Linked DNA regions of Rhinolophus ferrumequinum. The protein of the gene in region 2 purifies or fractionates together with the protein of the main gene of each other region. This does not show direct contact. Links are inferred from orthologs where the notes say so. Each region holds a gene or a part of one and is shown on either strand. Other genes may lie near its edges.

Region 1 (7,904 bases), on a different chromosome or scaffold from region 2:
AATCATCACAGTTATCAAAGAGTCTCATATTATTGTTATATTAAAAGTGTTCAGTTCCTAAAAGCCCCAGTTATGAACAGGCATTGATATCTTACCAGGAGATCCAACGGCAATATGACACTTTTTAAGTCTAGTTTTGTCCTGTGATAATGGAGTCCCTCCAATAAAGACATGACACTCTAAGCCTTCCATTTTTATTCCAATGGCTGTGATAACAGAATGTATCTGTACAGCAATTTCTCTTGTAGGAGCCAAGATCAAAATCTAAGAAAACGTAAAATATACCTTTAATGAGTCAGTGGCACATTCATTATACGACGAACTATCTTTCCTTTAAACGATCATTTCAAATGAGCTTTTATGGACAAAAGAAACTATTCCATTCATTTATTCGTGCATTCATTCAACAAACATTAAATAAGTACCTAGGCAACATACAAGTTGCTGTGGAGTCAACAGTTAAGAGTAAAGTCCTTGCTCTCATGGCACTTTCGTTCTTGAATGATGAGAAGATATACAATAAACAGACATATACAAATAATGGCGAGTAACGAAAAGTGCTATGAAGAAAAATCAAACAGGGAAAAGAGAAAGAAGCAACTCAACAAGTTATTTTAAATGAGGTGATCGAGGAAGGCCCCTCTAAGGAGATACCATTTGAGCAGATATCCACAGAGTAGAGCTGGCTGTGTGATACCTGTGGGGGAGTGTTTTCAGGAGGAGGAAACAGCAAATGCAAAGGCATTAAGACATTAGTGTTCTTGGTGGGTCTGACGACCAGCAAAGGGGTCCCTGTGGCCTGACAAATTACACAGGAAGAAAGGGGCAAAGACCTAGCTCCAGGGGCTAGGTCATGGAAGATGCTGGAAGTCAGTGAGAACACTGCAATAAAACTATGGCAGGAGGAAGAGGTGAAACTTCATAGTCTCAACTATGAAAAAAAAAAAAAAAACTATTTAAGAAAAAAAAAGACTAGGAGAAAATATGCCAGAATTGTTAACAGCAGTTCCTCTCTGGATAGGTGAAATTATACTTTGTTTTCTGGTACTTCTTCATTTTTATGAATTTTCCCAATTTTCAAAAATGAATAGATATTACTTTGATACACAAAAATCTTAAAATCAAAAATACAAATTTTATTTATGGATCTTATTCCGGGTTTCGGCATCTGACCTGCTGCCAAATTATCACAAGGCAAAATCTCAAATACATCTCAATTCACAAGTAGGATAGCGCAGGTCCTTGGAAAGTAGAAGGATTTCCTATGGTACCCGGGCTAAAATACACTGTTGAAGAATCATTATCAGATATATACGACTGAGAGCTTGAAACACAGTCTGTCATAATTACTAAACCACAAAGGAAAACTATCAGGATCATATTGGATTCAGCTTTGTATCCCCCATGCCTAGCATACTGTTTATACATAATACGAACTCAGCAAGTTTTTGTTGAATGATCCCCAAACCCAAATCTCCTGTTAATTTGAGTAAGGCCGTCTTAGATCTATGCCATGAGAACCCAGAGCATAGGTCAATGACATTCAGAGTCGTAAGAACCACGGGCAGTTACCAGCAACAGCCAGGGCACCACACCACTCTGAACCAGGCCAAACGCTAAATCTCATCACATTCTTCTGATCAGCAAGTAAAAGAGAATCTCTCCCCGTATTCTCAAGTACGTGATGACAAAACTGACACACATGACAGACATTCTATTTAAGATGCAGTAGTAATAGAAAAGTCCACACTTCTAACACTAAGAATGGATCCTTGATCAGCATCCTCAGCACCACCACTCAATGGCCTTACTGTCTCCTTTTTATACTTTTCATAGGGCTTAACTCAATCATTCACTAAACTCACGGCCTCTCTCTCAGGAGCTACTGGTATTTCATCTGACCTGTGGTAAAATGCACAGAATACCCCCTCCTCTGGGTTCTTTGAGCTGAACTCACCTGGGTACTTAAGTTTTCAAGAACAAGAGAGTCCAAAGCAATGGTGGAGAATACACAGGTTTTCCCAGTGCCAGACTTCGCTTGAACAATTAAATCTGCAAGGGAAAAAAACATTATCACTGGCCAGTACTGACTGTAGAAGCTTAGGTACCAAATAATGAATCACAGAGCTAGAAGGGTCTCCAGAAATCAGCTAGTTAGTTAGCATCTTCGTTTTTCAGTTCACTCTCAGAAACGCATGGCCACGTATCCAGAAATGGGCCTCGTCCCTGAACCTCTACCGTTCATCTTCTCAAACGTGAACCACTTGTCAGTGTGGAAAGAGCCTTAACTATCGTCAAACTCAACCAATACAGCGCCTCCGTTTCACAGAAGAGGAAACTGAGGCTCGAATGCTTGCAGCACCTTGCCCCAGCCTGACCCCGCACTGGGGCCCCTCCCGGGCCCCGCCGCCGCCGCCGCCGTCCCTCGGCCTCCCCAGGGCCCCCGCCCTCACCGAGCCCGCAGCGCCCCAGCGGGATGGCCTTGAGCTGCACCGGCGAGGGCCGCTCGAAGCCGGCCTCCCGCAGCCCCTCCAGCACCGGTCGCGACAGCAGCAGCGACTCGAAGTCCGCGGGCTCGGCCAGCAGCACGTCCCCCGTGCGGGTCCGCGGGCCGCTGACGTCGTGAGCCGTCCGCAGGCTCCGCGCCGGCCCGGGGGTGGGCTCCGGGGCTGAGACCTGGGCCGCCATAGGCTCCGCGGGCGTAACGGTCTCCACGGTAGCCAAAGCCGCTGGGGCTTCCAACGCCGCCGCCATGGCAGCCGCGCCGCCAGATCTCGCGGTACTTGAGGCTGGGCGGGGAGTCTGAGCGCGAGAAGAGGAAAAACTTTATTAGCACGCTTCCCGTGCGGACACGGACAAGCGTGGCCTGGAAGAGGTGGGGAACCGGGGACGGAAGTCGGAGGCTTAGAAAGACTGGGAAACAGCTATACCAACGAAAAATTGTGACCTGCGCAAGGCGGGAAGAGGAGAGAAAAGGGGAGGCTACCGGTGTGTCGCCGCCTGCGGCCTGCAGAGGGCACCGAGGGTTCACTGTGGGGGGCCCGCCTCCAGCTTCTCGGTGGGAGGGTCTCAGCCCTGCGTCCTGCGTCGCCAACCTTACAACGCTGTCATTGTGATGCGCGCAGCGCGTCACGCTCCCGGCCCGCGTGCCTGTGGCCCGCGGTCGCCTTCCCGCGCCCCTTTCCTCTCCTGCTCCACCTCGGCCTTCTCTGTGCCCACAGACAGCGCCTCGAGTATAGCGAGACGGGATTGACACGTGGGCGGGTATCCGTCGGCCCGCGGGACTGCCTGATTCAATTCTGCGTCCCCAGCCCCTAGCAGTACCTGGCACACGGTGAACTCGCATAAAGGTACATTGAATTGGAACCAGGAACGGAACTGACAACTCCCATTAGGTGGATTAAGGGGGAGGCGGAGTACTGGCTTCCTTTTAGTACCACACCTCTTTTATCCACCTAATCCCCAAATCCGAAACCTGGCAGTTACTCTAGACTTCACCTTCTACTATCCCTCTCCCCTAACAATTAACTGAGCGCAGGTAATTTTGTCTCCAAATATTTCATTCATTCATCTTCTCTGGTCTCCATAGCATCTGTCCTATTTGGCCCCTTCATCATCTTCACTATTCCAACAACCTCCTGAATGGTCTCCCTGCCCAGTTTCTTTCTCCCGCCACCCACCGCCCCTTCCCGAACCCCCCACCCATCCCCAGGTGCTGGAGTGATTTTTCTTAATTGGATATCTTAGGTTGTTTGGGTCCAGCTTCAGGTACTGCTCCTTTTGACAATCTTTTTTGTTTCTCACCCTAGGCTCCTATTTCACACTATAAATAATTACAATCTAGCTCTTACCATGTTCTATTTACTTGTTTACATGTCTGTCCCTCACACTAAATAAACTATGAGCTTCTCAATGAAGGGAATATTGTCACCAGAGGCTCTCCAGCCCAGCAGCAGGTCCTCGGTGGACCTAATAAACACTGAATGGCTGACACTTTCTCGCTCAAAAATCCCTGCTGGGTCTCCCTGCACACAGGAGTGGTTCTGTAGAAATCACACCAATCACTGTTGAAGAACCAGCTCTCATATCAAAAGAAACAAAAAGACTAACTTTCCAGAAAAGAATATTTTTTGTTTTAACAGCATTCTGTTATTGCATTTGTTGGTTGTGATGTTTTATGGGCACAAATATTACAGTAATGTTACTGGGAATAAATTGTATGCCATAGCTAAAAACACAAAATCAATAAAATGTTTTCATCAGTAGTTAAAAATTGCAATAATGTTGGTGACCATAATTTTTAGTGCTGTAAAGATAAAACACAAAGGTAAGAGACCATTTAATAACTAGGTAAGGTGTGTTAGTAACATGCACAGAAACCAGGTGGACTGTTGTCTGACTCCCAGCCTCCCCCAGGATAAAATTGCAATGGGACCCCAGCCTCTTTATGATGTTCCGTCTACCTGGAAAGCCTTTCCTCACCTCATGTACCTGGGAGCTAGAGGAAGTAAAGATTCTTAACAGTGACCCTCTATCTTATATTTTTGAAATTTAAACCTCTGATGTAATTCGATTTGACAGTGGTTTGGCTTGGGACTTCTCGAAAGTTCTTTTTCCCTTTCTTTGCTTTCCTCTCCTCCCACCAAAACTTGATGACTCTGTTTACTGTGCATTTACTATGCATACCAGTTCCAATGGTTTTGTTTACTTCGGTCCAGTGTGCAGACCTGGCCTCGTAATTTGGGAGGGGTTTTTGCATCTGTATGGGATTCACTCCTGACCCTGGGGCTGACCAGCCTTTAGGAATCGAAGTTGCCTGGCTAACTTCTTCCTTTGTTCAGCCCCTCCTTGCGTGTCTATAAAACCTTTTGGCGATATTAATAGAGGAAGGCAGTCTTTGTGACAGAGAGTCCACTGTCTTCCCTTAATGCGGCAGTTTGGAATAAAACTTGCTTTGCTTCCCACCAACCTCAACTCTCGAGTTTTGGCTTTCATGCAGTGAGCAGCTGAACCTTTTGCTCGGTAACACTTCCTGTGAACCGAAGAAGTGGGAGTAAGACTTAGACTCAGAATAGATGTTGAGGTTCAAATGGTCCTATCCAATCATTTTGCAGTGGAGGTTTCTGGGCCCAGAGGGAAGGAAAACTATGTACATAAAAGACTAGATGCAAGACACAAGACGGCCCCCCCTGGGTATGAGGATCTGTGGGAGAATGGAAAGGGAAGGAGAGGTCTTTGTAGCCACTTTTTACTCATTTGACCCTCGAGGTAACAAAAGGTAGGCAACGTTATTACTTGCATTCAGTACACAAACATCTCTGTTCATTCTTTCAAGAAAAATCTGAACACCTAATACAAATCAGCCAAATGCTGGAGATACAAACATGGCACAAAATAAACAAGATCCTTGCCCTCAAGGAGAGAGATACATGCAAGTAGGTGGCACTGATCAAGGAGGAAAAACTCAAATAGCACAGGGGGGTGTAAAATCATATGCAGTACTGACATTTTTCAGGGCCTTAGTTGCTCAAAGTGTGGCTGTCATGTGGGGGAGAGTTACAATTTCTGAGAAATTGAGGAAAACAGCTTTTGGTATTCAGAGAACAGTAGCTCATCTGTGCCCTTCTCATCCGCACCCAAAATTAGTGGTTTAAAATGTGCATGAAACTATGAGAAAAACTCCATGCACAGATCCTTCCTTCCCTAAATCCCTGGAGTCCAGTACTTCTGCCAAGACCTGGAGACAAAGCTCAAGTCCCATGAAGCCCTGGGGGCTGATTTTCTGAGCTGGAAGGATAGATAAGGAGTTCACCAGGCAGTGGGGGTGGAAGGAGAGTTTACCATGCAGACCTGTTAGGGAGATATTCTGAGCAAAGGGAACAGTTTGTGCAAAGGCGTGGAAGCAGGAGAAACCATAGTAGTTTAGGGAAGGCAAGATCTTTGGTGTGAACGGAGGCAAGTATGGCTGCAGTTACCAGGAAACCAGGCAGCAGAGATATATTGGTCCCACATGATGGAAGACCTTGTCTGCCACTGTGAGGAAGACAAAATGAGTGTGTTGTGCTCTCCCAAAGAGAGGTAGTGTTACGTAGCAATAAAGAGAAATACAGTTGGAAATGTAGAGTGGGGTTTGAGTTTGGATTTTAACTTGCAGAACATGGAGCATCATGGAAGTCTGGGAACTAATTTGTGGCAGGTAACTGCAAGACCTACTTTACACCTAACATCTCCTGGGTCTTGTAGGTGTCGGTATGTTGCGTTCCAGTGCTACACGGATGCTGCTTATCCAGCAAACAGTGACTGAGCACGTGTTTCTGAGTTCTCTTTCCCTCCTACATTTTTCAGTTTGTCTGCCCAATGGATAAGCCTCATCAATAAACTTAAGTTATATATAAAGTTTATCACAGAATAGAATCTGGCCTTCGGGACAGAATTTGGTGTTTCATGACCCTGCTCAATCCTAAGTGGCTACCTCCCAACCAGGAGAATAACTGTTTCGACATGTGCCCTATGGCCTATGGGGTGATCATATCTTCAGTACCTTTTCACATAGGACTCAGGAGAGGGGGAGACAGAGCAAAGGCCCCCTGCACTCTGTGAAGCCACCTCTCCCCTTGGGGATTTGCCTGGCTGGCTTTCAGACAAGAACCCCAGGCCATCCTCCCTCTCTCCAGACCAGACGCCCCTCTGCCCAAGGCTCACATTGATTAATTGCCCCGTTTAATGCCACAGCCTCAGTCTTTAGGGAGAAAGGCTTCGCGTTTGCTCTTCTTGTGAGACCGGGGCCCAATTCATTTTTGTCCAGGCAGCATAATAAATAACCTGCCCCTGTTGGCAGGGAGTTTATTAGAGACTGATGGGACATTTAACAATAACTGGGGGCCTGTGATTTATTAGGTAGGGAAATTCATGGCATCTCTGAAGACGGAGAATGTGGAATTTAATTGATAAAGCTGCTGTCAGCCGCAGTGAGATGCACTCAATAGAATATGCATTTGAGGGATTCTCTTTGGAGCTGTCAGGACGGGTTTCTGCTAATCACATCCAGCTCCTGTGGGTGATGGTGTCTGCTGGGTATCAGAGAGACACAAATGGCAGGGAGGGGACTTTGAAGGGGGCCTGGGGAGGGGTGCACCTGTTAGTTGCCCAGCCTGATGAAAGAATGTGACACAAATGAGCAAAAAGGAAAAAAAGAATTTCCATCACCGTAAGCAAGGGTTCTCCTTCAAGAGCCCTTTGTCTCTCTTCTGAGAGCTACTCAAGAGAGAAGAGGTGCTGAGCACCAACTTTCGGGAAAAGGAGGGAAATGAAAGGGTTAAATAGCAAGAAGAGAGATTTGTTCTGGAATTCTAAACTCCCTACACCAGTGAGGTTTCTGCACCAGAGATCCCCTGCCTTACTCTCCAGCCCCTGACATTCATATACACACCAAACACACACACACACACACACACACACAGCTACCCCACATCCAAACAGCCTCCCTTGAACCCCTGGTTCAGATTGGCAGCTCCTCCTGTCACTGCTGATTCCATGCCAAGAACAGAGCCACGGAAACTCAGGTGGACGGAGTCTCACCATTTCTTGCTGTTGTCTCCCAGCTCCAGAGACCCCAAAGCCAGGCTGAGCACCTAGAAATACATGTCTGTGGTCTGGCGTGTGCGGAGCATACAGCTCTCTCCTCCCCTTGGCCCACCCTCCACCAAGTTTCCTGACAATAAAGGAGACTGGCTGTATCTCTGAGGGCCATCAGCGATGGCACAGATGATGGCACAGCTCTGTCCTCAGGCAGCCTTGAGCCTTTCTAAGGCAGCTCTGCTCACATTTTCTACTCCTCTTCACCCCTCAGGCTGTGGCTCAGCTTTAAACAAGGCAGAGGGGCTTTCTGAGGCCAGAGTCGGCTT
Region 2 (7,578 bases):
TACCCTGAAGAGGGTCAGAGGCTTCTTAAAGCAGTTTCAGACCAGGCTGCATTGGGAAAGCCCTTTAGGCTACAGCTTTACAAATAGGCACTGAGGCCAGAAAATCAAGCTCTCCCCCCTCACACACCTGTGGGGAGAACATGAGAGCCCTTTACCCCAGTACCCAGGGGCACAAGAAAGTCAGAGAAACAAAAAGCCTAGCAGCTCTCCTTACAACTTGTACTCTGCTACAACTACAGAACAGGCTTGCTGGGCTAAGGAAGGCGATTTCTTAGTGACCAATGTCCCCATTTAAATCTGCCCTCTCAACCAGGAGAGCAAACAAACTGACAGAAACCAGCTAACTACATGACCTGTCACTTGGCCCACCCACCCAATCTACCCCCCTCCCCCAAATCCCTCCCCACAGCCCACTCCTCACTTGATCTTCCTGAATTCATCGCAGTCACATAGGATCAAATTCATGTGCTTGTCAAAAGCCTTGAAGGTGCCAATGAAGATACGACCGTCTTGCAGGATGCACCTCATCCTGTAGTCGATGTGCTGCAGCATCTTGCTGCTCTTGCCCACGGTCTGCAAGGAGAGATCAGTGGGGATGACACTCGGCTCCTTGGGACCCACATATCCCTAGCCCTTCCTCAAAAGTCTGCTGTGGCCTTCTTTGCCATGTGTCTGTCTTTCTCAGTAGATTCTCAGTTCTGTCTTCCAGCCACAGCCCTTTGCCAGGAATCCTCCCGTGTCACCCCGTGTTCAGCCCTGACCTCTACCCACTACTATTATTCTCCTCCCCTTCAAATCATTTCGTATTACAACTGCCTTTGTTTAGGCTGTGTTTCAGGGGTGAGTGCAGGATGTCTCCAAACTAATCCAATCCACCCATACGAGATTAGTCATCTGCCACTGTGGATTCTAGGTGTGTGACTCCAGTGCTGTCACCCACATCCCATTAAAAAGACTGAGGAAAGAGCTGGAATGGGACTGGCACTAAAAATCCAATCAACCAGAAGCTTATCAGAAAGGAGCTGGTCAGCGTGGAGGTGAGAATGCAATCCCCAAATAAGTGTGCCTCCAAGACTACCTTTGGGAGGAAAGCTTTCTGGTGACCAGTGTGCTAATCAGTTTGAACACACATGGTCTTTAAGAATATGTAACTCGCTACACGTCTTAATTAACCCAATAATCTATTCTGCTTTATTACTTGGATTCCAGTATAGCTTTGTTAAAATAGACTATATACACATCACAATGCAAATTGTCAGGTGCCCCTGGCAGTTATAGTTCTCTCTAGAAATAAATGCCCTGGCATTTGATCCGGGTATCATCAGCCTCCCATCAGTGAATGGTGTGGGCCAGTCCTAACTCATCCAAGTGCCTTCAAATGCCAGGCCTGGGTATGCTGTTCACTTCTGTGAGCTTGGACAAGAACGGGTTTCTGAACCCACAAATGTGTGGATCAGAATCTTGACATTCACCCTGGAGACCCAGGTTATATGGTTCAGTCTCTCTTAGATGACTCTTATTTTTAACTGGCAGGTAATCACACAGCTTCTGGCCACAAAGATCTGAACCTTTATGGCAACATTTTTTGGTCCACCCAGCAACAACCAACTCTTACTGGGTGCTCACTGTATACCAAGAACTGTGATAAGCACTATGTATCTCATTTAAATCTCAAAATCAGTCCCATTGTTCCTAGTTTACAGATGAAGCCACTGAAGCTGGGAGACAAAATTCCCCCAAACAGTATCCTGCCAGGTTTCCCTGCTTTCACTTCACCCTACACAGAACAGCTACAGAACAAAGTAATCTTTCTAAACACAACTTAAATTCATGTCATTTTGCTCCTTACAAGCCTTCAACGACACGCCTCATCACCAGCAGGATTAAGCAGAATGTAAGCCTTTTAGTAACCATCCTCCTGCCAATTCCTCCCAGCCCCACTTCCAGCTCTTCCTTTCCCCCTCCAGCAACTTTCAATAGTGCTACCTTTCATGCTTTGCTCTCGCATCCTTTCTTATCTATAATGTCCCCTCTCATTTTCGCTGGGAAAACACCTAACAACCTTGTACAATTCTGCTCAGGAATCCTCTACTCCCTACAGCATTCTTACCCTGCTCGCCTCCCGCCATTACTTTCACTCAATGCTTTATTACCACTCTGAATTCTATTAGGTTGGTGCAAAAGTAATTGCGGTTTAAAAGGTTAAGTTGCAGAAACCGCAATTACTTTTGCACCAACCTAATATTACCGGTGTCTCCAACTACAAAGTCAACTCGGTGTAGGAAACATTTCATTGTGTAGCCCCAGCGCCTGAAAAGTCCGACGTACTCATACATACATGCTGAAAAAATGAGTTCAACTCTTCCTCCAAACATTCTCAGTCACCCTACCGTTCCCGCCACCGACTAGATCCAAGAACACTCCAGTTTCGGCCGCAAGCCCTTGCACTTTTTCCGTAACTGCTCAGACCCTCACTCCCTTCACAAGTCTGAGCCTCTTAGTAGGTCTTCCTTAGTCCTCCTGCGGCTCTAGTGCCTGCTCCGAAAACCCCGGAACACATTTCTTCTACAAAAGTTTACTTAGTTCCTACAGGATCCCAAGTACTGTGGCTACAGCGGCGTGGAGAGCCGCAGTTCCATCCTCGCCCCCACCGAGCGACCCCGGCCTTCCCCCTCAGTGCCAGCCTTCCCCTCCCCCAACCCGCCGAACGACCAAGGTCTCGGGTCTTTAGTGCCCTGACCGAGCGGCCGCGGCCCGGGCCTTCATCGCCATGAGCGGCCAAGCACGGCCTTCCCCGCCAATCAGTCCCGGTCCCCGCCTGAACAACAGACTCGGAAGCTCCCGCGCCTCCAGCCTGCGCCTCCTCACCATGGTGGCGGTTCTGATGGCTTGGATTCCCGCCGGATTCGCCTGTGGGGAGGCCTAGAGGGCCTCCAGTCGCCAGCTTCCCGCCGCCGCTACCGGAAATACGTCCGGGAGCAAAATGGGTTCGGGTAGAAAACTACTTCCGGTCCCAGAGCCCTGCCCTCGCGTTCCGCCCACCGTGCGGAAAAGGAATCTTAGAGCGGGGCGGGAGGTTGGGCTGGGCTTGGGCAGCGCTAACCAAACTGAACTCGGTTAGTTTAGGATTCTCCTTGGACCCCTTCGTGCAGGAGCTGCTCCTGCACACTGTCATCCCCCGGCCCGGTCCGTTAACTCTCGGTCCTCATCTCCCACTACTCTACCCCTGCTCTCTGCTCTATAGCCACTGTCCCGACTTTTCCGTGAACTTGCTGGACGTGCTCCTGCCTCAGCACCTTTGCATTTGCTGTTGCCTGTCTGGAATGCTAGTGGTCCAGGTACATTCATAGCTCATGCCCTCAACTTCAAGACTTAAGTTCAAATAACATTTTCCCACTGAGGACTTCCCTGGCCATTCTGTTTAAAATTGCAACCTTCCCACCCATCCCAGTTTTATTTTTCTCTTTAACACTGATCGCTAACATACTATTTTTTTTTGTTAGTTATTTTGCTGTCCCTCCCTATTAGAATGTAAGTTCCAACGTATGATTTTTTGTGTGTATTGTTCATTGCTGCAGTGCCTAGAACACTGCTTGGCACAAAATAAAGGCTTAATAATTATTTGACTCAATCAATCAATCCCATCCAGTCCCATGTCTTTTGAATGCTACCTATAGGTTCAGGCTTTTTTCAAATCTATTCTTCTAACCCTGGTTTCTTCATTTAACGCCTGGTCTTTTATATCCAGCCACCTGCTTCACATGGATGTCTAATAGCCATACTAAATTTAACGTTGAAAACTGAATTCTTGATTCTATTTTCTTCCCAATACCACTTTCTACCAGTGTTTCCCATCTCAGAAGTTTCTTGGGTTAGAAAACAAAATGACAAATTTGGTAGCATCCTTGATTCCTATTTCTCTCCCTTCTCATAAACAGCAAATCCTATGTGCCTCACCTTCAAAATGTCTTGAATCTGACTGTTGAAACGAGTTCCACTGCTACCACGCCAGTCCTAGCCACCATTATCTCTGACTTGGATCACTGAATGAGCCCCTAACTGTTCTTTGCTTCCTCTCTTGCTCTCACAGCAGCCAGAGGGATTCTTCTCTAATGTACTGGGATTTTATCAAATGATGTCATTGCCCTGCTCTCCACCTCCCAATAACTTCCCAGCACACGTGGAATAAAATCAGCCCTGCATCCCTCTCCAACCTCATCTCCTTCAACGTTCCCCTCATTCATCACAGCCACACCAGTCTCTTTGCTGTTCCTCAAAGCCAGCAAGGAAAGCCTCCACCTCAGGACCTTGTCATCCTCACACCATCCTAAGATGTATATTCTGTTGTCCTGTTTCTGTCAACCTGTAGAGGAAGAGAATGGAGGCTCAGAGAGATGAATTATCTTGCCCAAGGTGGCAGCATCAGAACAGACATATGGTACCGTCTGGCTCCTCAGCTGCTCCCAAATTACCCTGCCTCTTAACATATCACTGATGCATGCATTTTAAAAAATATTTATTTAGCACCTACTAAGGCCACGCACTATTACTGAGATACAATGTCCCTTCCCTGAAGGAGTTCATGTTTTAGTGAGAAAGGCAGACAATAAACCAAATGAATACATTCTAGAAAGTAACATTAGAGTGATATGAGAAAAATAAAGTGGGGAAGGGGGACTGAGAGTGATGAGTTGTAATGTTGGCTACATGGTCAGAGGAAGCTTCTCTGAGGATTGGCACAGGAGCAGAGACCTGAATAAAGTGAAGGACATTCCAGACATTTTTTATCAAGGGGATCATATAATATCTGCGGTCTTTGGTAACTGCTTTTTTTCACTTAGCATATTTTTAAGGTTCATCCATGTTGTGCCACATATCAGTACTTCATTTCTTTTATGGCTGAATAGTATTTCTTTGTAGGGATATGCCACTTTTGTTTATTCTGTCATCAGTTGATGGACATTTGAGTTGTTTACACCTTTTAGCGATTATGAATAATGCTGTTTTAAACACGTGTGCAAGTTTTCATGTAGACATATGCTTTCATTTCCCTTTCATGTATACTTAGGAGTGGAATTACTGGTAACTCTGTTTAACTGAGGAACTGCCAGACTGCTTTCCAAAGTGGCTGCATTATTTTACATTCCCACAAGCAGTGTATGAGGGTTCTGATTTCTCCACATCTTCACCAACGCTTATTATTGACTTTTGGATTCAACCATCCTAGGCGTGTGAAGTGGTATCTATCCAACTGTGGTTTTGATTTCATGTCCCTGGTGACTAATGATGTTGAGCATCTTTTCATGTACTTATTGGCCTTTTGTATATCATTCTTGGGTTATGTATCTTTTCTGATTGAGTTTTATGAGTTCTTTATGTATTCTAGATACAAGTCCCATATCTCATATCAGATATGATTAATAAACATTTTCTCTCATTCTGTGGGTTGTCTTTTCACTTTCTCAATAGTGTCCTGCACAAGTTTTTAATTCCGTGGAGTCTAATTTACCTTTTCTCCTTTTGTTGCTCATGCTTTTGGTAGTATTATCTAAGAATCCTTTGCCAAATCCAAGATCATGAAGATTTAGCCATGTTTCCTTCTCATAGTTTTAGTTTTTGTTCTTACATTTAGATCTTTGATACATTTTTAGTAATATTTATATACAGTATAAGGTAAGGTTCAAACTTTACTCTTTTGCAGGGAGCTATCCAGTGTCACAGCACCACTTATTGAAAAGACTATTTCTTCCCCCATTGAATAGTCTGGGCACCTTGTGGAAAATCAGTTAACTGTAGACACGTGGATTTATTTCTGACTTTTCGATTCTATTCCATTGATCTATATGTCTATTCTTATGTTAGTATCATTGCTTTGTAGTAAGTTTTGAAATCAGAAAATGTGAGTCCTCCTAATTTTTCTTTTGCCAAATTATTTTGGCATTCTGGATCCCTTGAAATTCCATGCAAACTTTAGAATCAGCTTGTCAGTTTCTACATATAAGAAAAAAGGAGTCATGGATTCGAGAGCATGAAGTTAAATAGATTATTCATTTGGCTTTTGGTAAAGTGCTCCCAAGGTTCAGTCTAGATCAGGGATCAGCAAACTTTTTCTGTTAAGGATCAGATAGTATTTTAGGATTTGTGGGCCATATGGTCTCTGATGCAATTACTCAACTCAACCATTGTAGCATGAAAGCAGCTATAGATAATACATGAATGTGTGCCTGTGTTACAATAAAACATTATTTATGGACACAAACATGTGTCACAAAATATTATTATTATTTTGATTATTTTCAACCCTTTAAAATGTAAAAGCCATTCTTAGTTCACAGGCTTTACAAAAATAGGTGGCAGTCCAGATTCAGCCTTCAGGCTGTAGTTTGCCATTCCCTGGCCTAGCGCATTAGATTTCTGTGTCTGGATTCAGGGCCGTAGCCTCACTTTCTATTAATAATAACTTTGACTTGAGTCATTTCTTTGGCTTATGGGTTCATTGAATAAATGCCATCAAAAGTTCATGTCTTTGCCCTCATATAAAAACTACACACACACATTCACATCTGTATCAATCTAGGTCCAATAAGGAGACAAAAACCACACAGTAAAAATTTAAATGGGAAATTTAACATAAAGAATTATTATGCAATGATAGGAGAGGAACTGTACCTATTGAAAGAAAACCTTTAGCTGAGGGAAAGTACTAAGGAAGGATAAACCTGAAAGGAAGTTTCCCTCCCCAAGGCTGGGGTTCAGCCCTCTTGGAGGTGTAGTCACAACCCACTGGGTGATGGAAAAGTTGGGTTAGTGGGTGCTTTGCACAGGCCAGAGCTGGTCTACAGTCAACCGACAAGCAGGAATAACCTTCTGGAATACAGGCAAGCCAAAGCTGGTAGGCAGAAGGACAAATCGAGTTGAGTATGCAGAGAGTAGGGAGTTAATGTTGACACAAAGCCTGGATCACACAGTGTCTGTGTCTGAAGGGCCTCGGGCTGATGGGCACTGCTGGAAATGGAGGCTGAAAAGCTGTAAGAACCTAATGTACTTCTGTGCACGGCTTAGGCTGGGGCAGCTATGGGTAGCTGTTGGGACCCTGGTGCACATGCACATGGAGTTGAGAAGAGGATCTGGGGAGCAGCACCCAGGCTGGGGAGGCCCTGGGCCTCTCCATGGGATTAAAATCAGGTGATCTGCTTGCCAGAAAGCCAGCCTAGTGGGGACCCAGGGTGTGTTTCCTGGGGGCTGAAAAGAGGGTGAAGGAGCAGTAGCCTAGGCTGGGCACAGGCCTGTGCTCTTTGGACGCCCTACTATGCCACCACTGCCTAAGAGGTGGAGAAGACAGAGTGGCCAATCGGTGGAGGAAGCTATGTCCTGTAGGCACCTAGCATGGAGAAACTGTGCTGGCTGACCAGTGGAGGAAAAGGGGGTACTCTCCAGGAGTCTGGTGAAAGAGCCAACTGAACCAAGAAAGAGGAACCCTTCCTCCTGCAATGTTGCTCCAGAGCTTGCTCATGCCAGCTGGCAAAGGAAAACTATTTAAAGGGCCCAGATCCACTTTCACAGATCAGGCAACAAAGG
Region 3 (6,891 bases), on a different chromosome or scaffold from region 2:
GGATCCTCACTGTAACTTCTTAAATGGAACCTTCTGCAAAGTTCTCGTAAGATTTGGTTCCTATTGAAATGTTTCTGGGGCTCCTACTGCCATTTGTCTTTTCCTCTCAAGACTCCCAACTTTGCTGAAATTGCTCTCCAGAACCCAGAGAGGAAGAGTCAGCCCCACAGGAAAAAAGCATCATACATGTGGGAATAAGGCAAAAGGATTAGTTGGAGCACTTTTAGAACCCTTCTACCACCCACCTTCAGGAGCCGGAAGATCAGCCTCTGGTGCATCTTAGAAAGAACAGGAAATCCCTTCTTATTGGTCAGGAAAATGCTGGTGGGGAGAATGGCTGCTTTGATGGGCTCCCCAAGCCAACGATCAATGACATGATTAGATGGGAGGTCAGCCCCAATTTCAAGAGCTACACAAGGGAAAAGAAAGACCTGTCAACTACTGTTAGGAAAGAAGCCTTTCCTTGCTCTTTTGCGCAAGATCTCTTTACTCCTTACGAAGCACAGAAAAACAGCAAAATTGCCCAGCAGCCGAGTCTACATGAAACTCCTGATTCTTATTCACAGGAAGTCAGAGAAGGAATACCTATCCTAAGACCCCTGTGGACTTACCCACTGCAATCCTCTTGCTATAGTCACACAAGGTCCGGAAGTTGTGCCACCTGTCCAGAGTCAAACACAGAAAACTACAGTCAAATACATATGGCTCACCAATAACCATAGCCAACCCTACCAAGGAGGCCAACCCTACAGGTTCCACCTTGTACTTCCCCTCACCCTACCCTTTGCCTTCGTACAGCAGCAAAAGGAGACATACCACATCCACGTCTTCTCATCTCCACTGTACTCCTCTGTGTGTGTAGTTGGTGCATTCTCGATTATATCATCTCTCAGGTCCTCTGGTGCCACCAACGGTACCCGCATCCAGAACTGTACATGAACAAGTACTCTATTAAAACTCAGTGGGTCCAGAAAGCTTCCTTCAATTAAAATATCTCGATCCAGATCTCAAATTAACCCCTTTATATGCATTTGCCAATTTATGATTATATGTATGTTCTTATGTAAATATGTCTTGTCCCCTATTCCAAGTATAAATTTGTATAAATAATTATATATTCTTTATATTTTATAACTCCCTGCTCGCTACTTTTAAACAGGGGTAGGCAGTACTGACATTACATTTCTACCAAATGTACCCTTTACTGAATGGCTAGGAACAAGAAGGCTAACTACTATAATATGCAGTAGGAAAAGAGGCCCTCAGCCGTACCATGGAGGAGTGGTGGCCAGTGTGGATGTGGTTAGTCAAAACTCTGGCCAGGTTTGTGTTATCTTCCTGATTTAGGGGCAGCAAGAAAGCTGGAAGACCCAAATATGCTCCAAAATTCAGCTCTTGTAACATGGCCTGGAATGGAGATTAAGAGGAAAAGTTTAAGAGCTAACAATCCATATAGCTTTAATTGCATTATTATATCAGAGTTACTGAATTACAGGGGTGGGGGGGAAACCTGTTCTACCCACCCAGCTTGGTTACAGACCTGATCTTTAGAAAGATCCAGTGGAGAGGTCAAACAGTCTTACCGCCTCGGAGTTCCTGCGGATCTTCTCCACTTTTGAGTCTGGACGAATCCATGGAGAAAGCTTTCCCACAATTAGCGTATTCCAATCTGCACTCCCCCACCCAAGAAAGACAAAGACTGAATGAGGTTAGGCACTTTACTTGTTTGATTTCTAGTTCTTAAGAGGGAATAAAGTAGAGATAAGAGAAAAACACTTTTTCTATCATAGACACAGAATAGCCTGATGCAGATTAGGAAACTAAGGCTTTTAGCAGGTAAGCAAGGAGAAAAGAGTTATCTGTATCCTAAGGACTAATCAATATATCTAAGTCAGGAAAGGAGAATGAGGGCACTGATAAAGAAGAAGTTGTTACTGCCTCTAAGAATAATTAAGGGGCATATGGGATGGTCCCTACCCCTTCCTGACAGCAGTAGGTCTGATCGTGTCTGGGGGCCCGGTCGATTCTTAGCAGGTTCCTGAGTGAATTCCCTCTTGAAACGCGGGTGGAAGACAGGCATGCAGAGGAAATCAAACCTACAACCGCGACAGACCCAGAATTGTCATGTAAAGAGAGCAGCAGTGCCCAGAGATCCAAGCAACTGGATTAGGCTATCTGGATTCTGCACAACCCTTTCAGCTGCCATCATCAGTCAACCGACTGGACTGCTGAGTTCAGCTCATGTTGGGGCATATCACTTCCCCTACACTGTGCCTCAATTTCTCCCCAAAACACAACCACGGAAAACATGAGTAAGGTGAAAAGATGAAATGCAAACCAAGTAGATTTTCTACTCTACTATCACTGGTTTCCCAGGACTGTCACATCCAGATCTGCCCCAGTACTACCCATGCCTCCCCCACTCAAGGTTTATCTCTTCGCTCCCTAGCCCCGTAACACTTCCTCTCACTCTCAGACAATACACTCGCTCTCCAGGGCCCTGGAGGTCTGTACGCCCCCTTTTTGAGTTTACCTGACAACCCAGACTTTTAGGGTCAGAGACCACACGCCCCCAGTAAGTTTTTTTCTGACGCTCCAGGGCCCGAAGCTTCTTCCCTCAAGGAGTACGGGTTTCTCCCGCCCTCATCTTCTCCACTCCGACCCCCTCACCCCTGACTCTCGGGGATGACTAGTCTGCCCCTCTCCGTCGTCGAGTTCAGAGCCGCATCCCGCCCGGAATCCCAGGCCCTCACCCCTGCTTGGCCACAGCCCCCAGTGTGTCAGCTATTTCGGGAACGCAATTCAGGTCCCTGCCGCTGGACACGCGGCTCCCACCAGCACCTCCGACCGCCATCGCCGCCATCTTTTCCCTCGCGCTGTCCACGCCGGGATTTCTTGATACTAGCAGCCAATCATAAAGCCAGGAAAAAAGCCCCCGGAAGGCGGGACGAGTCGCCCTAACAACCAGAGCGTCTTCCACGGCTTCTCAGCGGAGAGGAAGGATGGGGAATGGCTCTTCCTGCCAATCCGCGGGCTGTACAGTGACGTGCGGCGTAGCTCCGGAATATCCACCAGTCCCAGGGTCTGGTTCTCTACGAGTTTCAATCTCCCATAATACCTCGTGTTATTCGTAAAATTTCGTTAGGGGACTACACGTCCCATGAAACCCTGCCATATAAGCTTGAAGTATCATCATCGAGGAGTCTTCAATTGTCTCAGGGCCAGTGGCGCAATGGATAACGCGTCTGACTACGGATCAGAAGATTCCAGGTTCGACTCCTGGCTGGCTCGTGTGAGGCAAACGGTTAATTATTGCAGCTCGTGCAATACGGCCGTGAACACCAAGTTTTAGATCTCATTACACTTTTTAAAGTTTCCTCATTATCTTCTCACGCCATTATTTTCAGGTCTAAATTTGATTGAGTTCTGCAGCCATTTTATGTCAGCTTCTCCGTTACCTAATTCGAGGGTGGTTCTTGTGTCACTACTCAGGTCTATGAGCCCTGTGAAAACTGGATTAATGGCTGGTGCTCTTAAAAGAGGCTTTGTGTGGGCCTTAGTATGTTATATTTGTAAATACATTGTGGCAACTCAGCTACTAATTCCTCGTGATTCTATATCTCAAACACAAAATGTAAATAAACACACACACACATTGTGGCAACTCAGCTACTAATTCCTCGTGATTCTATATCTCAAACACAACATGTAAATAAACACACACACACGCACACACGCGCACACACACACACAAACACACACACACACACCCGAAGATAGAGAAAAGGAATTCATGGTAAGCAGTTACAGTAGAGGAGTCATAAACTGCCAGGCGGAGGCTTCAGAGAATTTATACATTTTCCTTTGTCAGTACCTGCTAGAGGGAGATCTCTACATTTTCCTTTATTAATACCTGCTATAGGAATGGAAAAGAAAGACAGGAATGAAGAAAGGAAAGACATAGGGAGGAGAGCCCAGAAGTGTTCAGGGTCTGACAGAGAAGATGGAAAGGAGAACACGGTACAAAATGCCCTAAGCAGGAGGCGTTGACAGAACTTAGGGACCGACTGGCAGGGAGCCGTGAGGAAGAGAAGTCACGGTGATGCCCAAGGTTCTGATCTCTGTGTGGGTTAGACAAGCAACGAGAGAAGCCGATTTAGGACAATCCGGGTTTGGGTCTGGAAATGCTGAATTGGACGCCTAGGGGGCGCTGCGTAATAGAGAGTTAGATGAACAGTGACCTGAACCAGACAAGATTTAGAAATCGCCAGAAGAGAGGTAGTGACTAAAGTCCCTAGACTGAATGAGATCACCCTGGCCTGTGGGGGAGAAGGTCCTGGGAAGTACGGAAGGGTGTGTGTAGGATAAACTCTAAGGAGTCTTGGGTGCAATGTAAATGCCCCAAAAGGGTAAGAGTCCAAAAGCCAAAGAATTAAAAGGTCTGCGAAGCTTAAAGGGGTTGGAGGTGCTTTTGTCCCATCTTAGTCTTCATTTGACTCCTGCAGGTATTAGTATTATTATTAGACTTTATTTCTTAGACTTGTTTTAAATTTACAGAAAAATTGAGCAGATAGTACAGCAAGATCCCATATGCCTCGCCTCAGCTTTCTCTTTTATTAACATCTTAACATTGGTATGGTATATTTATTACAATTCATGGACCAGTATTGAAAACATTAATTAAAGTCCATGGTTTATTCAAATTTCCTTACTTTTTACCTAATGTCCTCTTTTTGTTCCAAGATCCCATCCATAGAGGATACCTTATTACATATAGTTGTCCTATCTCCTTAGGCTCCTCTGTGCTGTGACAGTTTCTCAGATGTTCCTTGTTTTTGATGACCTTGAGAGTAGTTTTTGAGGAGTTTGAGAAGTCTGGTCAGATATACTGTAGGATGCCCCTCTATTGGAATCTGTCTGATGGTTTTCTCATGATAGGCTGAGATTATGGGTTTGGGGGAGGAAGATCAGAGAGGCAAAGTGCCATACATATTATCGACATAATTTATGACTGTTGATATTGACTTTTATCACCTGATAGAAGCAGTAGTAGAATTACACTCTCCTCTCCCCTACTTCCATCACGTACTCTTTGGAAGGAAGTTGTTATACCATGTGTTTCCCACATTTAAGGAGGGGGGAGTTATGCTCCCCTTCCTTTAGGGTGGAGTATCTGCAATATTTATTTGGATTCTTCTCTGAAGGTCTTGTGAGTAGGTGGTTGTCCACCTGGAGTGAGTGAGTGTTCCTCTGACATTTTAAGAGGTAAAAAAAAAAGAGTTGTTGAGGAGGCTTGCTTGTTCTCTGCCCCAGCTGTGCCCAACCAAACTCTGCGTTCACAGAAGACTTAGTAGATGTTGTTTCTAATTATCTGGGTTGTGGACCATCTGTGCTTCTGGCATCTTCCTCCTGATGTCAAGCTGGTGGCTGCTCCGTTGGTTGTTAACTAATCCATCCATGGGTGAGAGGGAGAGAGGAAAATCTATAAAACAGTAATGTCAGTTTTGCCATCAGTTAAAATAACTTTCATCATAAAATAATTTTCAAAAGAATTTGTGTAAAAAGAGCCTAGAATTTCTGACTGACCTTAAAGTAAGTTTAGATGGGCTGGATTTCATTTGTCTGTGATGTCTTTGATTTTTCATTTAAAATGGCCTCAGCTGTATGGCAAGCATAATGCTGAATAGTTCCCAGTAATTCCATTCCACATTGCTCCCCGCCTTTCATACAGCACTTCCCTTTGCCTTAAAAAAACAGCATGTACTATAGGTCTGCCTATATGAGCTATAAGAGAAGCAGAAGGAAAGGACTGAAAAAGAAATAGAGAATCTTGTAAAGGACTCTTCCCAGGCATAAAGTCAAAGCTAGTGAAGTCTATCTATGCTCTGCTTCCGTCTGCTTTGCCCTCCATGCTGAACTCTTGTGCTCAGAAGCATGTGAATCACTAGATGTAGGCCTCGGCTGGGACGAAGAGAGAGAGATGGTAGGACAAAAGGGTAAATACCCTGCGTAAGAAAGAATGTTACTTACTCCAATAGGAGCCAGTGACCAACAGGCCAGAGCATTGGAAACTTTCCTGGAAAGGAAGGGGTACTCACTCCCCAGATCCTCCTCCAATGGGCCTGCCAGCATTCCTCACCTTCAGGCCCAGTTCTTCTAACTGATGCTGTTTCTAGGTGCTTCCAGCCCATTGTAAACCCTCCTTTCATCTTCCCTTGTGCTGCCCTCCTCCCTCAGCACTGGCCTCCCTCCCGGGGACCACCTTCACTCACCTCTGTGCCTGCCCAGCCAGTCGCACTCTTCAACACCAAAGTAATGGCCCGCTTGACCCTCCTACTGGTTCAAATTGCTGCTTCACAATCAAGGCTGTCCTCCAGCCGCAAAAGTGGCAGAGTTACTGAGGCAAAATAATCTGTGTGATTTGCATTCTCTTCTTTGTCATCTCTATTATACAGTATTTATCTGTCAAAATGGATAGAAAGTAAAAACTGTTTTGGAATACAGAAAAAGATGGAAAACTACCCAGTTTGTTTATGAAGCCAGAATACACCTAATATCAAAACCTGTCAGAAATAGCATCCCTCACTCACACACAGAAAAATAACCTTATAGACCAATCTCACTTATGAATATAAATGTAAAATACTACAATATTTCAGATTAACACATAAAACTCAAGAGTGCATTGGCATAATAATTATATACCACAACAAATTAGGGCTTATCTCAGGAATTTACACAAGGTTAGGTATTAGAAAATTTATTTATATAATAGATCAAAAATAATCCAAACAAGAAAAACATTTGATCATTTTTAAGAGCCACCAAAGAGAACATAAGTTAATTTCATTTTCTATAAACATTCTTAATAGTCTTAATATTCTTCATGTA
Region 4 (6,868 bases), on a different chromosome or scaffold from region 2:
TTTTGGCAACGTGGGTTTGTATCCTGGGAGGCTCTGCCACTTACTGTTTGACCTACACAAGTTACTTAATACCTCTCTGCCTCAGTTTCTCCATCTATGAAATGGGGGTAATAACAGTACCTACCTAATAAGACTGTTGTGATTATTTTATATAAAAAAAGCTTAGAAGTGTGCCTCCCACTATGTATACACTAAGTATTGCTATCACCATCGTCATCATCATCATATTACCTGCTTGCTTGTGAAAAGATGGAGTTTCAGGAAGAATAGGTTTGGGGATGGGATGAAGATCATGAATTCAGTTTTGAACATGTTAAGTTTCTATTGGACATCCAAGTGAAGACGTTAAACATACAGCTGGACATCAGCAGAGTTTAGCAGGAAGATCAGGGCGAGAGAAATATATGTAGGAACTGGCGACATATATAGACAATATCCAAAACCACAAAACTAAATAAGGTCCCTCTAGGGCAGGGGTGTCCAAACTTTTTTCAACGTTTTTCACCAAGGGCCATATTCGGTAAAATACACAAACAGCCAGGCCACTCACTCGAGGTGAAGTACATATGGCCTCACCTGGTTTATTTAAGTAAACTAAATATATTTTTGGAATTTGCTGTGGGCCAATAAAAAATGGATTGCGGCCCACTTTGCCCGTGGGCCGCAGTTTAGACACCCTTGCTCCAGGGAGTGAATACAAAATAGCTTCGAGGACTGAGCCTGGGGGAACTCAACATTTTAGAAGTTGGGAAGACAATGAGGAACCAGCATCCTTCTTCCAGGAGCGGCATCCTGGATATAATAATAAGGTGGTTCAAGAAGAAAGGAGTATTTAGCTGTTTCGAATGATGCTCAGAGATCCAGTAAGATAAAGAATGACAAATGATCATTGGATTTTACAACAAAGAGGCATTGGGAAGCCCTAATAAGAACTGTTTTGAAACAGTGGAGATGAAAATCAGGTGGAATAAGTTCAAGAAAAAATGGGAGTAAATGAATTGGAAACCACAAATATGGACAACTCTTCAAAGGAATATTGTTGCAAAAAGGGATAGAAAAAGAGATGCATCAGTAAACAAATAGATGATTATATGAGAAAACATAGGTAAAGCACTGAGAATAATATGCCTGGTACATAGTAGGCACAAACACCAGCCAAATACAGATAGATCTAAACTTGTGTTTATCCAAGTCTTTGACAAAAATGTGGACCAAGAAGTGCCCTAAAACTTGCTACTAGAGAATTAACAAAGGAGTTTGAATAACAAGCTTTTGAGTTGCTAAAATACTTTTGATAATGTGAGAAAATGTGTTAGAACTCAATGAACGCAACCTCTTAATTTTTTAGAAAACAAAAGTTGAAAACAGAAAGCCAAAAAAACAAACAAACAGTAAGCCAAGTTGACTTGCCCAAAGTTACCAAACTAATTCACTGAAAAACCAAGAGCCAAAATTAAAACCTAGTTCTCCTACTTCCTATTCTGGTTTTCATTACATTTTCTTTAATCTCTCCCTCTCTCTGACAGAAAGGCTGAAAATATTAAGATTGCAATTTCTGTGTTCCCTCTACTTCTGCCTGGCCCTTCTCCTCCTCCAATCTACCACAGGCTGTTCTGTTCTTGACTCTACCACTTTATTTTAATCCAATAAAAACTATGGTTGTTAAAAGGTGTTTTGGGGGAGATATAACATTTTAGTTACCAAAAATTCCACATTATTTCCTATCAAAAAAAATCTACAATAAAACACAAACCTATGCATCACATAGAAAGTAGCTTAATTTTCCCATCTGCAACTAATATAATGTGTAAGAAAAAGTTCACAAGTTGAAATATCACCACATTGATACTGATGGTGAGGAACATTTACTATAACTGACTTTACAGACGTTTAAAATCAGAATATTTCAAAAACTAATAAATCAGAACACAGGATTTTTTGTTTGTTTTCTACAAAACCTTAAGGAAGTAAATCTACTTTTAAACACTATACCGTACTTTTACCACCATGATGGTAGCAGATCCATTTCTTACTTTTAGTACATGAGCCACATTGATAATATGCTGACAATGTCAATTAAAAGTAACACTTGCTGAAATATAAATTAATGTCCCCTTTTACTTTTTTTATATTTAATAATGGCTTAACAGGGGTTTTAGTACTCAGTTTTAGTGATAAGCATTCGATTTCAAACAATCAATAAAGCTGAAGTTTATCAGTTAAAAGATATCTAGCAAACCCAATCACTTTATCTTTAAAACAATACCTTTTAGATTTCAAGCTTTAAACTATAGGTTCTGATATAAATCACCTCTCACGGTTATTTTTTTTAACCCTAGAATGTGCTTCAACTTCCAGCTAAAAGCTTCCACTCTGTTAATTACCATTCTACTATTATTTTCTTAACCTATCCTCATCCCAAAAATGTTGCACATCTACACTGAGGTATATGTAACTGTGCAGCACTCTTAACTTCCTGAGTCACTAAAATGAGCTTATCTGACATAAAAGGCAGCAGTAAGAATGTTGGAATAAACGTATTTGAAAATTAATCTTCTCATTCCACTCGCTAGTAAATGCAGTCAAAATATTAGCGACTGTTCTAAATATCTAGATTTTTACCCTGGTTTTTAAATATTCTAAAGACATACCAATGCCATTTCGGCATTAATAGCACCAACCGAGTCCTAAGAGCTCCGCCGACGTTCGAATCTGAACGTGTTTCTTTTAGGAAGCTGCCTGAGTGGTCTCAACCAACACTCCACACCAAACACTGCTTTTTTCAAATCTAGCCGTGGTGTTCCAGTTTTCGACACCCTTGTTATGTGCAAATGTATTTTTCTTATTAATCAGCCGCTTGAGGGCAGAGACCTGTTTTACAGGCTGCACACCCGGGGGGACCAACAGTGCCTGGAGCTTACAAAGAATGTACCCACGCAAACTATTAATAGCACATATGAGGTAGGATTTAGTCCTTTCATTTACGATTTCATTTAGTCCTTTCAGCAGCCCTGGGGAACAGGTACTATTAATCATCCCTATTTTACAGATGATCACAATGATGCTCAGAAAGGTTGTCGCTAGCCCGGGTCACAAAGGTAGTAAAAGGGGCATAAACCAGGATTCCATGTCTGATTTGTCTGAATGCGAGCACACTTAACCACCACCAACGCGGCCTCTCAACTACACTCGTGACCACCACAGGATATCCTTTTATCTTTCATACACAGTAGGGTCGATTCTAAGCCCGGGATCAGGGGGGTCACACTGGGCAAGCCCAGAGGCCTCTAGTAAGGATGAAGACTCCTCGCTCCAACACTAAGAAGTGAAACACTCCGAACTGAGTGTTTTTGAGCGGCGAGAGGAGATGCGGAGCGAGGTGAACCGGATCGCTGTAACCCAGGCAGGGCCTCCCCTCCCCAGCACTCGAGTGCCGGAGCCAAACGCCGAGGCCGGCGGGAAACCCAGCCCGCCGGTCCCTGCCGGTTCCAGCCGGGTACTCCAGGGCAGCCCGGGGGAGACTAGCCGCGCGGCCTCCGCGGCTCACAGACAGCCCCGCGCGACTGACGCGCCCCCGGGAGGGAGGAGCGCGTGGAGATCAAAGCAGGGACCGACGCACCTCGGGCGGGAGAAGGCAGAGGGGGCTCGCCCTCACTCTGGAGCAGCGGCGGCAGCTCTTCGATGGCTCAGCAGCCGAGGGAAGCGGAGAAATGTGAGCGGCCTACTTTCGCGAGCAACCTTCGGTGAAGAAAAAGCCAAAAAGCGGCTGCAGCCCGAGCAGCGTTGAGCGTTACACCGCCCGTCGCCCCGCCTCTTCCTGTGCCCCTCCCCGAGCCACTTCCGGTGAAGGCTCCGTAGCTTGCTCTAGTTACTCCAGCTCGCTTCAGGCGGGAACGACCTCATCTCCGTTCCTCACCCTACACCACGGGGCGCGCCGGCGAGGCCTGCTTTCGGTCTCCAATAACCCAGCAGAGGCCGAGTGGCCGGTCCCGTGCCGTTTACCGCAGGGCTGCCTCCTCTGAGGTGGTAAAATGTGCTGCGAGAAGTGGAGCCGCGTGGCTGAAATGATTCTCTTCATTGAAGACCTAGAGGAGGATTATAAAATCCTTTGCCTCTGCTCCAGGGCGTTTGTGGAGTAAGTAAAAACGTCTTCCTCTTCCTTTCTAGCACGATCATTTCCCAGAAATGTAGGTGTTGCAGACTATTTGTAACTGCTCCCTGGAACCACGGACAGAGTATTTGACCCTTAGGCAAGGTGATGTTTAAGAAAAAGGGGTAAAAGTCCTCAGACTTTACGGAGTGGTCCCCTACTGCAGTTAAGTGAAGGAGTAAATCTACTTTGTAGGCTGTTAGGAAAAAAATGTGGTGGCTTATATATGTAATTTTATTTTCATTGTAAATACAGGGGCATTTTAAAATTGGGGGAAAGTGAAATGTAAAATGAAATCTCGTTAATGGATGTGACATCACAAGGTGATGGTTTGAAAGATGAGTAACTTGTGTTGGTTATCGTCATTTTTAAAACCTTAAGATTTATTAAAGCGCAAAAGCACACACATAGAACTTGTAATTACCTAAGGTAAAAGATTTAACTAATCACATCCGTTTTTGAGCAGTCTTTATCTTTGGAAAATATATGTTTTGGGTTAAAATTTTCATGCATGGAAGATAACTAGTGAGTAGGAAAACTGCCTAAAGAATTATATTCTAGGGATTGTTTTCTTTATATTCGATGTGTGAGTTCAGCCACTTAATTTTTGCTCATCTCTAAAACAGGTGTATTTACCATAATCATCTCACAGGCTTATTGTTAGATTCAACTTGTAGAAGTGAATTTTAATGTAGCTTAATGTAGTAGAATTTAAGTTTGAAACAGTGCTTCATCATTTGTTTTTGTGGGGTAATCTGAAAATCCGATAGAAATTAAACACTATGTTATATTTATGTGAAAGTATTGACATTTTTGTATTCACGTATGCATGTATTCATTCAGTCAACAAATCTTAGTTGTGCTTCTTTGTATTATGTACGAGTAGGCACGGGGGTACAAGACACAGCCAGTCCCTACACCCTTTGAATTTACTTTCTAGAGAAGGAGATCAATATTAAGACAACTGTTACATAATTATCTGATTAATTATAGTTATAAGTGCTATGGAAGAGAAGTACAGGATGCTGTGGTGGCAGAAACCTAACCTTTCTCCACAGATGACAATGATTTCTTTAAGGAAGTACAGTAGCATTTGAAAAGAGGTCTAAAGTGTGAATGGAAATAAACTGGGATATGTTTATTTAATGGAGGAAGCATTCCCCAATCAGAACTCTCTGAAAGCCTTGAGAAAGCAAAAGAAAGCCTGTGAAAATAAAACAAAATGACTGGGAAAGAAAGACAGAAGATAGGGTTCATGAAGTAGATAGAAAATAGGGTTAATGAAGTAGGCAGGATCAAAATATGCAGAGTTTTTTGGAGGACGGGATCATTTTTAAATGATCATTACGTTTTTAAAGATTACTCTAGCAGCAGGGTGGGGGATGGTTTAGAGAAGGAGAACCACTTAAAAAAACCATTTTCCAGGCAACAGATTATCGTGGCGTGGATAAGGATTGGTGGCAGTGGAAATGGAGAAAGGAGGAAATATAGGAGAGAAATTGTTGAGTTTAGGGGATTGGATTGGATGTAGGGGAATGAAGGAAAGGTAAAAGATGGGAAAGAGGAGAGTAGGTCAAGGGTAACTCCCTGGTTTCCAGCTTATATTGATGTGTTTCACTGAGATAGGGGTCACTAGTGAGTCATGGGTTTTGGGGGGTATAGCAGAAGATAATAAAAAGATAATCAACTTACTGTGTTTTGATTTTGGAGTAGCTATCAGATATCCAAGATTAAATGTCATAGGTACTTAAATATATTGGTTTGGAGCTCTAGAGAAGTCTTAAAACCTTGAGCCATTCTAGTATAGTCATTGAAGCCATTGATTTAGCACTTGGGGCGGGGGTTGGGAAGAAGTGGGATCCATCTTTGAGGAATTCCAACATTTTGTGAAGATTAAAAGGGGAGGAAAAGGTAGAAGACAAGCTCAAGTATACTGTCACCAAATGTTTGAAGAAAGGAGTACATTGGAAAGCTGATGCAATATCAAGCAAATTGAAAACTAAAAAATATCCACTTATAATTGGCAGGTTTTTTTAATAAAAGCTACTTGCTGAGTGCCAGGCACTAATTGTTTTACACTTCATTCTGTTTTTTTCCCCATGTAAGCATCCCAGCAACACCCTGAGATATGTCTTGTAATCTTTATTTTGTTCTAGTAGAAAACGTAGTCTCAATAATGGCCTTTTTAAAAAAAAATCCCAGTCAGGTAAGTGGCAGCCCTGGAGGTCTTTTAATTTGTCTAGAACATAAGTGAATCTTTCTGATTAAGGTATTTAAGTGGTCTAAAGTCACTGACACTGGTGACTCGTTAAAATACTTTAACATAATGTATTTTAGTTGAGATAGAGAACTGCTGCGGAAACTGAAGAGCCTGAATTTATCTCTGGTCATACCTATGTGACAGTGTCTAGTGGTGATGTCTGGTTTTTCATATACAGAAGAATCATAAACTCAACAAAATCATTGGATATGTCCTTTCCCACAAGTTCCTGAGCCAGAATTTAAAAGAATATTGTCCTTAGGAGCAGAATATCTATCTGGGCTTCACATCCCAGCTCTACCAATAATCAGCTGTGTGGCCTTGGACAAGTCACATAACATTTCTGTGATCTCATTTCGGCACTTTCAGAAAGGACTTCCTTTTATTACTATTATACTTGAAACTAATCCACAGCCCTTTTGCAGTAGAGAAATTGCTATTTGTACTTAAGAAATTTC

The links.
Region 1: the proteins of SNRPB (region 2) and DDX20 purify together in Homo sapiens (co-immunoprecipitation; 4 studies listed by BioGRID and IntAct, with this or other methods). This does not show direct contact. The link is inferred for Rhinolophus ferrumequinum from reciprocal best matches to the Homo sapiens genes SNRPB and DDX20.
Region 3: the proteins of SNRPB (region 2) and PRMT5 purify together in Homo sapiens (affinity purification with mass spectrometry; 4 studies listed by BioGRID and IntAct, with this or other methods). This does not show direct contact. The link is inferred for Rhinolophus ferrumequinum from reciprocal best matches to the Homo sapiens genes SNRPB and PRMT5.
Region 4: the proteins of SNRPB (region 2) and TGS1 purify together in Homo sapiens (co-immunoprecipitation; 3 studies listed by BioGRID and IntAct, with this or other methods). This does not show direct contact. The link is inferred for Rhinolophus ferrumequinum from reciprocal best matches to the Homo sapiens genes SNRPB and TGS1.

The regions. Positions count from the first base shown.
Region 1 is NC_046305.1:43,201,714-43,209,617, reverse strand, and holds the start of DDX20 (probable ATP-dependent RNA helicase DDX20), read right to left. Parts: upstream 3,002-7,904; 5' UTR 2,987-3,001; intron 2,803-2,986; 5' UTR 2,755-2,802; coding exon 2,454-2,754; intron 2,053-2,453; coding exon 1,958-2,052; intron 265-1,957; coding exon 96-264; intron 1-95.
Region 2 is NC_046306.1:24,784,060-24,791,637, forward strand, and holds the start of SNRPB (small nuclear ribonucleoprotein-associated proteins B and B'), read right to left. Parts: upstream 3,008-7,578; 5' UTR 2,872-3,007; coding exon 2,869-2,871; intron 574-2,868; coding exon 422-573; intron 1-421. UniProt on the Homo sapiens protein: Plays a role in pre-mRNA splicing as a core component of the spliceosomal U1, U2, U4 and U5 small nuclear ribonucleoproteins (snRNPs), the building blocks of the spliceosome.
Region 3 is NC_046289.1:73,505,520-73,512,410, forward strand, and holds the start of PRMT5 (protein arginine N-methyltransferase 5), read right to left. Parts: upstream 3,009-6,891; 5' UTR 2,864-3,008; coding exon 2,754-2,863; intron 2,097-2,753; coding exon 1,978-2,096; intron 1,670-1,977; coding exon 1,584-1,669; intron 1,408-1,583; coding exon 1,273-1,407; intron 930-1,272; coding exon 817-929; intron 662-816; coding exon 612-661; intron 410-611; coding exon 246-409; intron 1-245. UniProt on the Homo sapiens protein: Arginine methyltransferase that can both catalyze the formation of omega-N monomethylarginine (MMA) and symmetrical dimethylarginine (sDMA), with a preference for the formation of MMA.
Region 4 is NC_046297.1:22,291,825-22,298,692, reverse strand, and holds the start of TGS1 (trimethylguanosine synthase), read left to right. Parts: upstream 1-3,863; 5' UTR 3,864-4,031; coding exon 4,032-4,135; intron 4,136-6,868. UniProt on the Homo sapiens protein: Catalyzes the 2 serial methylation steps for the conversion of the 7-monomethylguanosine (m(7)G) caps of snRNAs and snoRNAs to a 2,2,7-trimethylguanosine (m(2,2,7)G) cap structure.